Schizosaccharomyces pombe: one gene and its partners. Changing the gene in region 1 together with any one later gene gives a genetic interaction. Each region holds a gene or a part of one and is shown in the gene's direction. Other genes may lie near its edges.

Evidence for each region. Genes that interact genetically often act in the same process or in processes that back each other up.
Region 2: mutations in nop10 (region 1) and nup97 together harm fitness more than expected from each alone (negative genetic interaction), as found in Schizosaccharomyces pombe (one large-scale study listed by BioGRID).
Region 3: mutations in nop10 (region 1) and atg11 together harm fitness more than expected from each alone (negative genetic interaction), as found in Schizosaccharomyces pombe (one large-scale study listed by BioGRID).

Annotation. Positions count from the first base shown.
Region 1 is NC_003424.3:1,634,570-1,637,136, reverse strand, and holds nop10 (snoRNP complex protein), read left to right. Parts: upstream 1-1,632; coding exon 1,633-1,810; exon of another isoform or gene 1,811-1,862; coding exon 1,863-1,879; 3' UTR 1,880-2,026; downstream 2,027-2,567. Other genes in the region: SPOM_SPAP27G11.14C (uncharacterized protein), read left to right, coding at 1-1,075; SPOM_SPAP27G11.12 (uncharacterized protein), read right to left, coding at 2,395-2,567. UniProt on the Schizosaccharomyces pombe protein: Non-catalytic component of the H/ACA small nucleolar ribonucleoprotein (H/ACA snoRNP), which catalyzes pseudouridylation of rRNA and is required for ribosome biogenesis.
Region 2 is NC_003421.2:2,163,106-2,169,422, forward strand, and holds nup97 (nuclear pore complex component nup97), read left to right. Parts: upstream 1-1,915; 5' UTR 1,916-1,926; coding exon 1,927-2,120; exon of another isoform or gene 2,121-2,169; coding exon 2,170-4,531; 3' UTR 4,532-4,693; downstream 4,694-6,317. Other genes in the region: transcription factor TFIIF complex alpha subunit Tfg1, read right to left, coding at 1-18; protein Cwf26, read left to right, coding at 115-1,013, 1,054-1,060; SPOM_SPCC1620.12C (GTPase-activating protein), read right to left, coding at 4,694-6,317. UniProt on the Schizosaccharomyces pombe protein: Has a role in meiosis.
Region 3 is NC_003424.3:2,629,897-2,635,095, reverse strand, and holds atg11 (autophagy associated protein kinase regulator Atg11), read left to right. Parts: upstream 1-1,544; 5' UTR 1,545-1,726; coding exon 1,727-4,507; 3' UTR 4,508-4,648; downstream 4,649-5,199. Other genes in the region: protein ahk1, read right to left, coding at 1-885; SPOM_SPAC7D4.05 (hydrolase), read left to right, coding at 4,913-5,075, 5,111-5,187. UniProt on the Schizosaccharomyces pombe protein: Involved in cytoplasm to vacuole transport (Cvt), pexophagy, mitophagy and nucleophagy. Recruits mitochondria for their selective degradation via autophagy (mitophagy) during starvation.

The DNA of each region.
Region 1 (2,567 bases):
TTTATACGAAACAATAAATGTCGAGGAGACAAAAAAAGAAACTTACAAGTTTACTCGAAGCATAAAAACTGTGATTCCTAATAAATTAATATCTAACGAGTCAATTTCAATATTATCTATTCCTGAATCAGAAAAGACTATATACCAAAATTTTGATTTATATGTTTCAAAGTTTAACGTCGCCAGGAAAGAGTTATCCGAAAAAGAACTTTTCAATAATTCTTTTTCTTCTTCATTTAATACGTTGCTCGCTAGCTTGTTGGTTAAGCCAACCTTATGTCTGATTTCTTATTTAATGATTGCAAAAAAAATGGTTGTATTACAGGAGGCAAACCGCTTATTTCTTAAATCATTTGCCCATCCATTCCATTTGGAACGATACCATCTACATGCTGTAGCTGCAATGGGTGGTCTGTATCAAATTATGTCTTCTACTCATCTGAAAAATTTGTTTTTCTGTTCCAGGAAAGGAATCGCTCTGACAAAATTACATAGTCAGCAATACAATGAATCAACGTTGTTTCAATACTTGTCAGAATTTGTTCATCAGCGACAAAAGTCGCTTACACCGAAACAGAGAATCGCTATACAAGAACTTATTTTAAAATTTATGCAAAGAAATTTTGAAAATAGCCTTTACCACCAATCATTCAGTTCGCACTGGTTTATATCTCGACTATTGATCAACCCGATTCGAATGCTCTGTTGGCATATTACAGATGTGGGGAAAACGCTGGATCTCGGAGAAGCAGAGAAGTTACTAAAATATAATCACAAACAATGTCCGTACATAATTTACCCATCAAGCTTAAAGGCAGTGCAAAAGTTAGGTGGATTACAGTGTATCATTAGGAATGATAATTTGAGCCATATATTCAATTGTTCAAGGAAATATATCAGAGTACAAAGATATTCTGACGATGATTTATCAGAATCCAGTCTTCTACCGCGGTTGGTTAATTTACTTTTGTTTTTTGAAAATTCAATGGGGGAGGTTGCATGGAACAAACTTAGTCAAACGTTAATGGATATGTTTGAAAAGGAGACAAAGAGCAATTCTTTGAGTGATTATTAAAGCAAAGACATCAATTAATTATCTATCTTAATTAGATGCGCAATAAAAAAAAAAAAATAATATTTCCCTAAAGAAAGACAATCAAAAACGAACTGCTTAAAATAGAGGTTTAACTCCCTTGTTTAATAACCCATAAGTTAAGTGTACTAAGGTGCAATTACTAAATGTTCCAAGCAAACGTATGTTAAAGATGTAAACTAAATAGTTGGATCTGATTTGGTCAATAATTAATCGCATTTTCTTAATAGCTGAAAACTCGGATTTTAAAAGAAATTATTTTATTCTAATTTATTATAATGACAATAGCTGTTTTAATTTTACGAAGATTGCTATATCCTTAACCCCATATTGCTTATTCTGCTTACAGTATTGTTTTTAAATTTTAGTGAATAATAAAAGAAGAGAGTCGCTAAATAATTTAATATTTGATTATGTCTGTGTTATAATGCTTTAGCGTAATTTAGCAACAAAAACAGTCACCTGAAGTTGAGGTACTTTTGACATTTACACCTTTCCAGCACCATAGGAAAATTGTAATATCCGTTTTTTTTTTCACAATGCATTTGATGTATTATTTAAATGATGAGGGAAAGCGTGTTTATACTTTAAAAAAGGTATCTCCAGATGGAAGAGTCACAAAATCTTCGCATCCTGCTCGTTTCTCTCCTGACGATAAATATTCTCGACAACGTTATACTCTGAAAAAACGGTTTCATGTACTACTTACTCAATTGCGTAAGTATTTCTATTAAATTAATTGGTATAATGATAGTGTTCTAACGATTAGCTGCAAAACCTTACTGAGCAAATAAGAAAACGTCGAAAAATTTTCGCCTTTAGAAGGGAGCTACATAAGTATGGTTTTGGTTAAATAATCAATAGTTTTGATTTTTCTTTGGTTATGTGAGTAGTGTGCTCAATTGAAAAAAAAATATATTTCAACTTGAGTTGATTTTCCGATGTTTATTGCGAAGCATTATTTGTTTGGCATTTGCATTTATTATCTATTAAACTACAAAGAATAAATCCCTGGTGTATACATAAAATCTTTTAGTAAATGCTAAACAGTTACTGAGAATGTAAAATAACGATAAAAGTAGTAACATACTAGTGGTAATTCTGAATGAAAAACGAAACAACATTTTTTTAACCAATTTGTGAAAAGAAATAATAAAAAAATAAAACAGATGTAAAAAGCCAAGTATCTATTCAAACAGACTCTTTGAACATACAAAACTTAGGATAGTTCAAATTTCTCCATTTCAATTCTTAAAACGGAGATATGCCGCTCAAGCATAATCCTCAAGGAGATTTCAAGTCTAAAATGAGTCAAATATTTTGACATCCGTACCTTCAAAGATGCCTGGCCCTTCTCTTTTATGACTGTCTAAATCGCATGAGACTTGCCAGGCGAATAGACGAGCAAAATTTGCCAATTGTTGTCTCCATTCCTTTGTTCTATATTTCGGAATGTATGGTTGATTAGTTGCTG
Region 2 (6,317 bases), on another chromosome or scaffold:
TGTCTCTTGTGAATCCATGTTCTCCGATAAAATATGTCAATACTGATCTTCCGCCGGTGTTGGAAGGTAGCGAGTTAAGAAGCGCTCAGGTAAGAAAATATGCATTCAGCACATATGTCAAACGCCGACTATATTGCTAAAAAGTATTTACGAAAAGATCAAGGGAAAAAGAAAAAGAAGAAAGAGAAGGATTTTGTAGAAATTCAGGATGAAGATGTCGCTGGATGGGACGATGACAATTCATTTTCACTAGTCAACAGAGAACTCACATCTTTGCATGATGCCCCTACAATTGTCGCAAATGAAAGCCTTAAAGATCGAGATATTGATGCTATTTATCAGAATATAGAAAAAACTACTAATAAACCTGCTCAGTTGTGGAAAGCTGTGGGGAATGATGAAGTTGTCGAATCTGAACAACAGGATTCTCATGATGCTGAATCAATTCCTCAGTTCGGTCTGTTAACTGGAAAGCAGGTGACCTTTAAAGCTGAAGAAAGAAGAAAGAGAGAAGAGAAATCATCCAATCTTGATGAGGAAGAGCTTCGCAAAAGTCGCGAAACTGTTTACAGAGATGCCACAGGGAGAAGGATAGATCTGGTTCTTGCAAGAAAAGAAGCCAAAAGAAAATTAAAAGAGAAAGAGGAAGAAGCTAGAAGACAGAAGGAACAACAACAAGGTGTGGTTCAAGTGCGTCAACAGAAAGAATACCTAAAAGAACTTGAAAGGCAAAAAACGGTGCCATTGGCGCGTTATGAGGACGATCCTGAATACAATAAGGAATTGAAAGAAAGGTCTCGTTGGAATGACCCAGCTGCTTCGTTTCTCACTAATAAACCTGTATCATCAAAAGCTACTTATCAAGGATATGCGCCTCCCAATAGGTTTAATATACGACCTGGCCATCGTTGGGATGGAATTATTCGTGGTAATGGATTTGAAAATAAATGGTTTCAGCGCCAAAATGAGAGAAAGGCACAAGAACACGAGGCACATATGTGGGCAATTGAGGAGTAAGTAATCAGTTTTTGAATAAATCTCTAACGAAATCAGCATGTAAATATTTAACGATTTCATTATTTCTTCTGCTGAAAATGGAGGAGACTATTTGGTTTCATGTATATGATATTGTAATGCGAGTTGAACATAATCTCTTCTAGTTTACGAGTGTCAACCGAGGCACAATACTTGATTTTCCAGATTCTGTCCCATTTCCTTTAATTAACTAATGGCTTTGATATTTACCTACAAAAGCAAAACGCTTATAGCAAATAGCTTTATTGGGAAATCGCACACCACGAGACAATGGTAGCCTTATCTATACTAAAATATTTTTTGCTAGTTTATATATATTTATTTTTAAATTTCTGACGATTTCTTAATCCTATATTCAATTATGGGTCATTAAACGTATGAGTATGAGCGACCACGGCTGTTAGTAGTAAGAGGGTTTGAAATATCATCCATTCAGTTATTTCTCTAAATTCTGAACACTTTTTACCAATATTAAATATCATTTCCCTATTGCTGTCCCTAAGGGCCCAAATAATTCACTGCTGATTCTGTGAATTCATATGTATTGGCTTTTAAATGATAGTAAGAGCTAAACGAGAACAATCGATGTTTGAAAATAGTATTTTAAAATTTTTAATTTTATACTTTTTAAGCCCTTTCACATCCACATAGACAGACTTGACTTCACACTTGCTGTATACGTAAAGCAAAGCTTTTTGCATAAGAATTTGTAATTCCAACCGAGTACAAGGATGATTCAAATACTCTTTAACGTTTTACTGTTGACCTGTTTAGTATGAAATATTGTTTTTAACAATTAAGGTTCGGTGAACTCGGTGACTTCAATTTCCTTAGTTCACCGAGACAGATTCTCTCAAACGCATTGTGCTTGTTTACATCTTGACCATCGCCATGACGGTTGCGTCTGACGATTCACCAAAGGAAGCTAGAGGCATACCTTTTTTAGATCAAAAGTCTCGTAAACTTGCTAATGAGTTGTTGGAACCATGTCTTCCGTTTATCCAGTTCAATTTGGGTGAGATTGAACAACGCGCAAAACATTACTTGAACACCGTTCCTACTAGTAAGGATGGTAATACAAAAGCGTAAGTTATTTGTATCCTATTAGATATATTTGTCTAATGAACGATATAGCCATTATTTGCTTGCTGGAAGCGGTATTAATGCCGAACAAACATGGAAGAAAATTGAGTCGCTCTCTCTACAAGTAAGACCTCCCACTACTCTCGAGTTGTCCTTTACCGATGTAGATATGTTTTTGAAGTATCATCGAGAAAAAAATGTTTTAAATTCTTTGGAAGCATTGGTACAAAACACCCAAATAGCGTTCGATCAATATTTGGAAGAGGAATGGCGTTCCAAAGCTGCAAAAAGCAGACCCTCCTTTGATAATATTTTACTTGAAAATAAAAAGAGAGTATCCTTTTATCCTTTCTCGGTGCAACGTTCGCAGAAGTTTGCTTCCACTTTAAAAATGTGTCTTGAGGAGGAAGCACTGCACGGATTTCAATCAAAGCTTGTCAGTTCTTTTTGTGAGGTTGCAAGAGAATTTGCTCATGATACAAAGTCTCTTCTCCTTTACGAATCCTGGAAGTTACTTTCCTCTGTTATATTGGATAAGGATTCTGTGACAGTGTTTGGCAATAAAGGCATAATCTCAAAAGCCTTTGACATTGAGACTGAGGATGGCTCGGTTAACTCTCGGTTCTATCAAAGGATTTCTGACTGTTCCCGTAAGTTCCTTGAAGCTCAATTTTTTGAAGTTTTGAATAAGGAAATTGCAAAAACCCCCCAGGCTGCTTTGGTAGGCGGTGTTCCTTCAATACGTAACAAAATTCGAGCGTATTTGAACATTCGTCTATTAAGGAACGGTGTTTGGATTAATCCAGATTTAGAAATAATCCAAGATGTTCCTATATGGGCTTTCATATTCTATCTATTACGATGTGGTTTTTTAAAGGAAGCAGTGGACTTTACTGAAGAAAACAGAGATCTTTTTGAAAAGGTGGCTGAGAAATTTCCTTTTTATATCAATGCTTATGCGAAGGCTCCGAATGGTATTTTACCAAGGCAACTTCGGAGTCAATTGTTTTCTGAGTTTAATCAAACCATTCGTCTACAGGAATCTTCTGATCCTTATAAGTATGCAGTATACAAAATAATTGGACGCTGCGACCTTTCTAAAACTTCGTGTCCATCGATTTGTTCTGTCACTGAAGATTACATCTGGTTCCAGTTAATTTTGTCACGTGAATTTACTGAAAAAAGCGTTTCCGCTCACGAATTTTTTTCATTGGAAGATGTTCAACATATTTTGCTTTCGTATGGCTCCGATTATTTTACTAACAACGGATCTAATCCCGTTATGTACTTCTTTTTGTTAATGCTTTGTGGTCTTTACGAGCGTGCCATTAATTTTTTATATCCTTATTTTCCAACCGATGCAGTCCATTTTGCCATTACTTGCGCATACTACGGTCTGTTGCGCACTGCACCTTCTAGCTCAGTTGTCAGTAATGAACCTGGAAAGATTCAATCAATGCTGGTTGAAACAAAATCTGGGAAGCCTTCCCTTGAATTCGATCGGTTGTTAATCGATTATACCCAAACTTGTCAAGAATTAAGTCCTGTAATGTCTGCCTGTTATCTTATACCAATGTGCAAAATTGATAAATATATCTCGATGTGTCATAAATCTCTGTGCAGTTTGGTACTTTCTACTCGTGATTATGTTAATCTTCTTGGCGATATACGTGGTGATGGCGAGAGGACTCCTTCCTTTTTGGAGAATCACAGGTCTTTGATTGGTCTTTCTTCTGTAAAAGAATACTTATCAAAAATCACTCTTACTGCTGCTAAACAGGCTGATGATCAGGGATTATTATCTGATGCCATTCTTTTATATCATTTAGCTGAGGATTACGATGCGGCAGTAACAGTTATAAATAGACGGCTGGGCTCTGCATTGCTAAGGTTTTTGGACCAGTTTGTTTTTCCCGATAAACTTATATCTTTAACTAAAAGTATGATGGATGTATACAACAGAAACCCTTCTTTGTATGCCAAAGTGGATTACAAAAATCGCGAGACGACGAATTTGCTTTTATTGACTGTGGAGGCGTTCAATGCATATACCAATAAAGACTATGAACAAGCTTTATCGTCTTTACAGCAGTTAGAAATTTTACCCCTTGACCCACTTGACTCAGACTGTGAAACTTTTGTTGTGAGAAAACTTGCAAAAGAATTTCGATTTCTCAATGAAAATTTATTACAAAACGTACCTGGTATTGTTTTAATAGCCATGAACAGCCTTAAAGAACTTTATGCTAAACAAAAATCTTCATCTTTTGGAAATGACGCTATATCCGTGGATAAGTTACGCCTATATAGACAAAAAGCACGAAGAATTGTCATGTACAGTTTCCTGATAGAATATCGTATGCCTTCTCAAATTCTTGAACAGTTAAATCGCTGCGAAATAGAAATGACATGATTATTTTTTTAAGGTTGTTTATTCTATGTTTACTTGACTTCACTAAATTTTTATGCCTATACATTCATTGAGTCCTAATTATCCATCATTAAAAAAGTGTTGAATGCACTAGTCTTCATGTTAATAATAATAGCAATAAAGAGTGATCTTTGGTTTATCGTGCTAATTTCTAAACATCTCAGAGACACTTTTCCATTTAGTTTGTAGCTGAGCATGTTTTTCCTTGAGGTCATTTAGCTGCTTTAAAGTCTTTCCAAGTTCCTCATCAAGATATTGTATTTGTTGAATTGAAGTAGCATTGTTTTTAAGAAATTTTTGATTGCGCTGCTTAAGGATTGAGATTTCTTGAAGAAGCCTATTTTCCAATTCCTGAGGCTGTTTCTCTAATTGAGCTTTCAGATCAGCAGAATTATTTTTTAAAATTTCTGTAGCCTCCTCCATTTCGCTTCTTGTTACTCGATGGTTGGAAAGTGCTTCAGAAAGTTTAGTGTTTTCCTTATTCAACATAACCATTCCCTCCTCTAAATTAGTTATCTGAGAGGTTAAATAATCATTTTGATTTTTAAGTTCCTCTAAGTTATTTTGGCGATAGGTGTTGTGAGATACGGAGGTTTCGTGATATGAAAGATAGGATGGGAACTGAGTAGTATCGATGTTTAGAGCAAGTGAATCTTCAACCCATGCATTTAAGTCGACAGGAGTTCTTGTGTAAAATGTATACTTTTGGACCAGAGGCTGCCGATATGAAGCTAAAACGTCTGAGCGTAAATACTTAACCCACTGTTCATGAGAAACCATATTTACAATCTTGTCCCGATCCTTTAAAAAAATAGCAACAAGAAGACGCACAAACATTTCCAAGCCGTAGATAGCAATTAAATCCATAAGGCGGAGTGCTTCGGGTAATTGCAACGAATCGGCAAAGCAGCATGCTAATGATGGATATAGTATACACAATGAACTAACTTTTATACGTTGTAATGAGATAGCGACACTTGGTGCCAAGTCACCCAAACAACCCCAAACCAAAGCGAAAAGACTTTCGTCAAGAGAACTGGATTGGGATATGAAAAACTCACGAATTCCACCTCTTTGAATGAAACAAACTAGCGAACGGAAGGCGTTTCCTTGAGCCATATACGATAGAAAAGCACAAGTTAACCATAGCAAAGGTTCAATGTTATACTCAACAGTTGTATCAAACAAAGTAAAAGCATGCAAAACGTGAAATATAGACTCAGTTGAAACTTTATGCCTTGTAGTAGAAGAATATTTAAAAGGCTCCAAAGGTCCTCTGAAAGATTGCATACGAATAATCTTCCGAATAGAAGAATCCAAAGAATTATTAGTAGTACTTAAAGTAGCGTAAAGTGTTAGAAGTTCATTACGTTCAGCGGAAACAAGGGATTGCCAGACCAGTTTTCGACACGGAGATGGAATACAAAAGTTATTTTGTTTAATTAGTTCTAAAATCGGTGTCAAGGGAGGGGGAGAGGAGGATGTAGCATTGGGATTAGAAGGATCAGGCGGAAGGTCATAAGCAAAAAGAGGCACACTGGCCCATTGAAGCCAATCGATATTAGAAACGGGAATTGACTCTTTTTCACATTGTTGATTAAGCTCGAAAATGATTGATTGAATACGTGAATCGTTAATGGCGCTATTTAAATCGCCGTGAGACTTGTAGGAATCGCGTAATTGTTCAAATTCTGTTTGATTATTATTTATTTTGGAGGATGAAATATTGGTAGATGCAGTTGACATAAAGGATGGAACAGGGGAATGA
Region 3 (5,199 bases), 1.0 Mb from region 1:
ATGGTCGGCAAAAAGTGGAAGTTGAAAAAAGGAGAGAACCAAGATACTCGCACAAAATGTCGTTAATGAATACGGCAAGGACTTTTGAGAAAGCAGATGAACTACAAATGTCAATGTATCGTAAAGTATTAATTGGTGTTCCAAGTACAATAAAGCAGAGTGTTCCACTTTGTTCCAACAATGATGCTTGGCGATAGCAAGTATGGCCTTTGTATATGTGATACGTTCTGAAGTAGAAATATTAGATTGTAAACGTCGAAGAATGGATACCCACCAGTTATACAAAGAATGCCTAAGTTTATCCAATTCCGGTTCGGAAACGTTTTTAGTGGTTAAAGAAGCCAAATGTGGTAATAAAAACCCTCTTATAAGAACTACCTTATCAGAATCCTGCTGATTAATAAAATTGATGAATTGCTCGGATAAAGGACACTTTATTGGAGAAACCAGTGGCTCCGAAAGACGTAAGGTAGATTGGACGGCCTTATTTATTAAGCTAGAAGGCGCTATCTCCTCCGCATTAAGGCGTAGGCTTTGAGAAGACAACTGAGAAAAAGGAGAGGTAGAACGAGAAGAGGAATCAGAAGATGATGATGAGGGTGATTCGTTGTAAGGCTCATTTAAGATTGTTGAGGAATGGCTTACTAAAGTGTTTTCATATTTACCATAATCATCTGTAATCGAAAATGGTTCAAAGTTCGAATCAAGGTCGTCAGCTACAAGCACATTGGTTGTATCGACGGGATCATGTTCCTGAATACATTTTACCACAACAGGATAGTTTTTTGTTTGGGAACCCGAATGCTCTTCCTCTTTAAAGGAGGCTGTATTGGGAGGACCCATAATAGCGGCAAGGATCTCATATCGTGATTGAAAGTCACCCATTCAGAATTTCAGAAATGAAGCTAAATGTAAAGAAAAGAATAAGTGTGAAATGCAAATAAAAAGAATATAATTAATCCCTAGATTAAAACCAAATTAATTAACATGAGCCGTGCAATCACCACTAATAAAGAAATGAAGATTTAAAGGACAAGCTATGCAAATGCCAGAAAAAAATGTACCAAATATGCTAAAAGATGCTCAAAAGTTTTTCCTACAGTAGAGAAATTTTGACTTTTTTAATTTTTTAAAAACTTTATCGATAAAAGACAGAGAAATCGGTAACCAAAAGATTCGCGGTTAAAAAAACAAGAAAAATACTTCCGAGTTTAGAATACTTGTATTCTAAAAGAATGAAAAGTAAACAAGTAGAAGATATCTTTAAATTAAATATATGAAATCCGCAATGTAAATTAGCATCCCCAACACTTTCGTTCACACCCAGTGTAGATGCTTGGTTAAGGCTGAGTTTCCGAACCCACCAGCTTGAGGGTATACGGCTACATATGACATATATTTCAGTAGACAAACATAATAAAACCAATAATTAAAATTGTTTTTTTAAGCTAAATGAAAAGACATTTGAAATTTTAAGCTGTATTGTCTTACAGCTTCAACTCAGTGTTCATACAATGCCAATCTCCTTTTGGTAGTTAGTACCCAACAATCGCCTAAACCAAATAGAACCCGCCAACTTACCAAACAAAACGGAATATAAGGACAGAGAATAACTATATGCAACGGATTATAAATAACTGATATTGAGTTTTCTTTTAGATCAAATATTTCAAGTTTAATGTTGGGGAATCGCGAATGATAAAGTTAAGCAATACAATAGGTCAGTATGCGTTTTCGATTGAATGATTCATTCTCCGGAAAGAGTTGGACCATAGATAATGTACAATGGACTCCCCAAAATCTTGTAGCTTGGATTATGGAGCTCAATATTGGACTTAGTGATGAAGCAAAACTATTATTGCCGAACGGAATGTCTTTGAATGAAACCGTACTAAATAGTGAAAGTGATGTGGTTATTTACGTACTAGATCAAAACTTGTTGACTTTCACCTACGATGGTGATAAAATTCCTTCTATTCCTTCTCTGAAAGGACAACCAATATCTAATGTACTTACTGGGATTATAGCTGATTCTTCTTCAGATCAATGGAAAGATAAAATCAGCAAGTGTCTTTCATTATTATCTGATATTTTAGAGTCTTCTTCAAAGATTCATAATCAATTAAGCGTATGCCATGATGAGTATTCTACTAGTATTGTTTCTCCAGAAGTTGCAATGAATTATTTACAAAGAAGACAATCTGGTATGAAAGATTTACTTTTCGTTTTCTACGAAAGACTAGATCGAGTATCTGTGTCTGATTTACTTCATGATTTCCTCGCTCTACCAACTGGTTCTTTACCCATTACTCCTCTTAAAATACTTTCAACAAATTGGACTAAATTGGACTCCTGGTTAAACTCCATTTCAGCTCGTTATGCTGAAGCTCAAAAACGAGTCCAACAGTGCATTGGCGCCGCAAATAGTATTATCGTTTCCCCATTCAAGGAAGTTCCTTCAATCAAGGAAGGAGATGATGCTTATTATCATCTACGTTCCGTCGCTCAGGATGCAGCCAATATATTGCAAGAGATCCTTAAAATAGAGTCAACTTCAACTACTTCTCAAATCAAACCAAAATGTAATTACGAAACCGAAATTACTGATTGCATGGAAAAACTTCAAAGTAATCTGTCGGAATTAAAAAGTTCTAGAAAGTCATCACTAATATCTTTGAAATCTTTTTGGCTTTCCTTTTATAAGGTTTCTCTTAGATATGATGCATTGTACGAATATCTTCGACAAATAGCAGAAGAGCTTGACAGAAGCAAATTCGTTCTTTCTCAGTCTCGAAACATTTTTTCGCTATATATCGACATTTTAATGGAGGCACTGAGGAGGACTGAATGGCAGGAATCATACAATGTAAGCCATGATAGTTCTCTTCCTTTAGACCAGGAGAAGGAGCTTTCTCTTAGGAAGTCTTGGCTCAGTCATTTCTCTAATTTGCTTTTTAATCATGGCCAGCTAAAGTACTTACCAGTTTTAACTCGTGACGAAATTTCTAATTATTTACTCAATATTCAAGCACATCCGAATTACCAAACTTTTCATCAAATGCTAAGCAATCGGCTCTCAGAATATTTGGGCTTTCCTGGAAGTCCTCGAGAAGCCGTTTCCAATACGGTTCAAGCGAACAATTCATTACATGAAAAATTGGCAATGTATCAAAATCGTTGCAATAATTTAGAGGCAATGTTAAGCCATCAAAACGGCTTTAATTATAACATTAACAATGATGGTTTATCTCCAAATGCTCCACATCCACCCATCAATGAGCAGTCTAATTCTTCTCAGCCATTTTACCGTGTTTCCCCTAGTATTGTGCCTCTAAACGTAATTCGTAAATTAACTAATCGCAAAACTTCTTTTACCGACAGCCACATATTACGACTTCAAGATGAGGTTAATCAATTACGCAACGAATTAGATTTGGTAAATAAAAGAAATGAGGACTTATTAATTGAGCTTCAAGGGAAGGAAGAAAAGATCCAATACCTCGAAACTGAAAATGAGGAAGTGCTACAAAAATACGAAAATTTACAGGAGGAACTTTCATCAACACGGAAACTGCTTACGAAAAATGAAGCGGCAGTTGCAGAACAGCAATCAAACGAGGAGATGCATTCTAATGAACCGAACATATTAAACCTTTACTCCGTATTTGAGGGCAAAGTTGATAGCTTGCAAGAACTTTATAATGCTTTCAAGCTTCAACTCACGAGTTTGAAGCAAAAGGGCGAATACGCTACTCTTGCAAAAGATGCCGAAGCAGTACAACATATTATTGAAGAGAGAGATTATGCTCTTGCAGAGAAAGCTGATTTACTCAAACTTTCCGAGAATCGAAAAGAACAATGTAAGATATTAACTCAGAAACTTTATACCATTGTATTCCGGTGTAATGAGTTACAGTCTGTTCTTCGGGAATGCGTTACTCAGCCTGGATTTGATTCAGATAACGAAAGAGATGGCCATGCATCGATTCCAGATCGCCAAATTGAATTTAATTCCAAAGATTTACAGTATCTTTATTGGATGGATGGGGAGGATGCTGATAGGAATTTCCAGGAATTTTTGAACAGAATGAGTTCTTTAGATTTTGACTCTTTCCATAACTTTGTTGTCAGTGTTTTGACTCAAGCACATAATCATGAACTTCGTTGGAAACGTGAATTTCAATCTAACAGGGACAAGGCGCTGAAAGCTATTTTGGACTCTCAAAGTAAAGTCTCATTAAGGAATTTCAAACAAGGATCCTTGGTCTTGTTTTTGCCTACTCGACGTACCGCCGGTAACAAAAAGGTGTGGGCGGCTTTTAATGTTAACGCTCCTCATTATTATTTGAACACTCAACCGCATTTGAAACTTGAAAGCCGCGACTGGATGTTAGGAAGGGTAACTTCCATTGAAGATCGTACTGCTGATGATTCGACGGATAAATGGCTTCGCCTGCCTTCAGGTACAATATGGCATTTAGTGGAAGCTATCGATGAAAGATTTTAAATCATTATGTGACCTAGCTTATACCTTCACTTGCTTTTTCTTTGCTTGTATTTGTGGGACTGATTCTATATGACAGACATTTGGTATTATCATACTTCTATTTTTTCAGGTTTTGATCTGTTATGGCATTATTTACTGAAATTTGTTTTTTGGTCTCGCCTAGTAAGGTATCCGACGTAAATTAACGACTACTATTGCTGTAGCGTGTCTCTCGTCTTGTAACATGATAAATTTTTAATGAACTTTTAATCTATTCGTATATTATTTAATATGTAGAACGCAATCGCTCGCAATAAAAGTGATTTGCAAATATTATTTATCACACCGAACAACGCACTGGTGGTAAGGAGTACCTTATGTAAATTGCTTTGTGTAGTGTGTCCCATCAAAGTACAACCTGGAATTATGATTCCCTCAAAAAATATCCAAAAGATCAAGTTGGTTACGTTCGATGCTTTTGGAACAATCCTTCATTTAAGTAAACCTGTTCCAATTGTGTACAGCGAAGTCGCTCAGAAGTATGGAGTTCATGCAACTATTGATGAAATTGAACACAATAGTAATAAAGGTTAGCTTTTGGTTTCTATTTATCTAATAATTTAGCATTCAAGGATTTCAGTGAAAAGCATAAGAATCATGGAAAAAAGTCAGGATTAAATCCTCATGACTGGTGGATCAAAGTATGTGTCTGA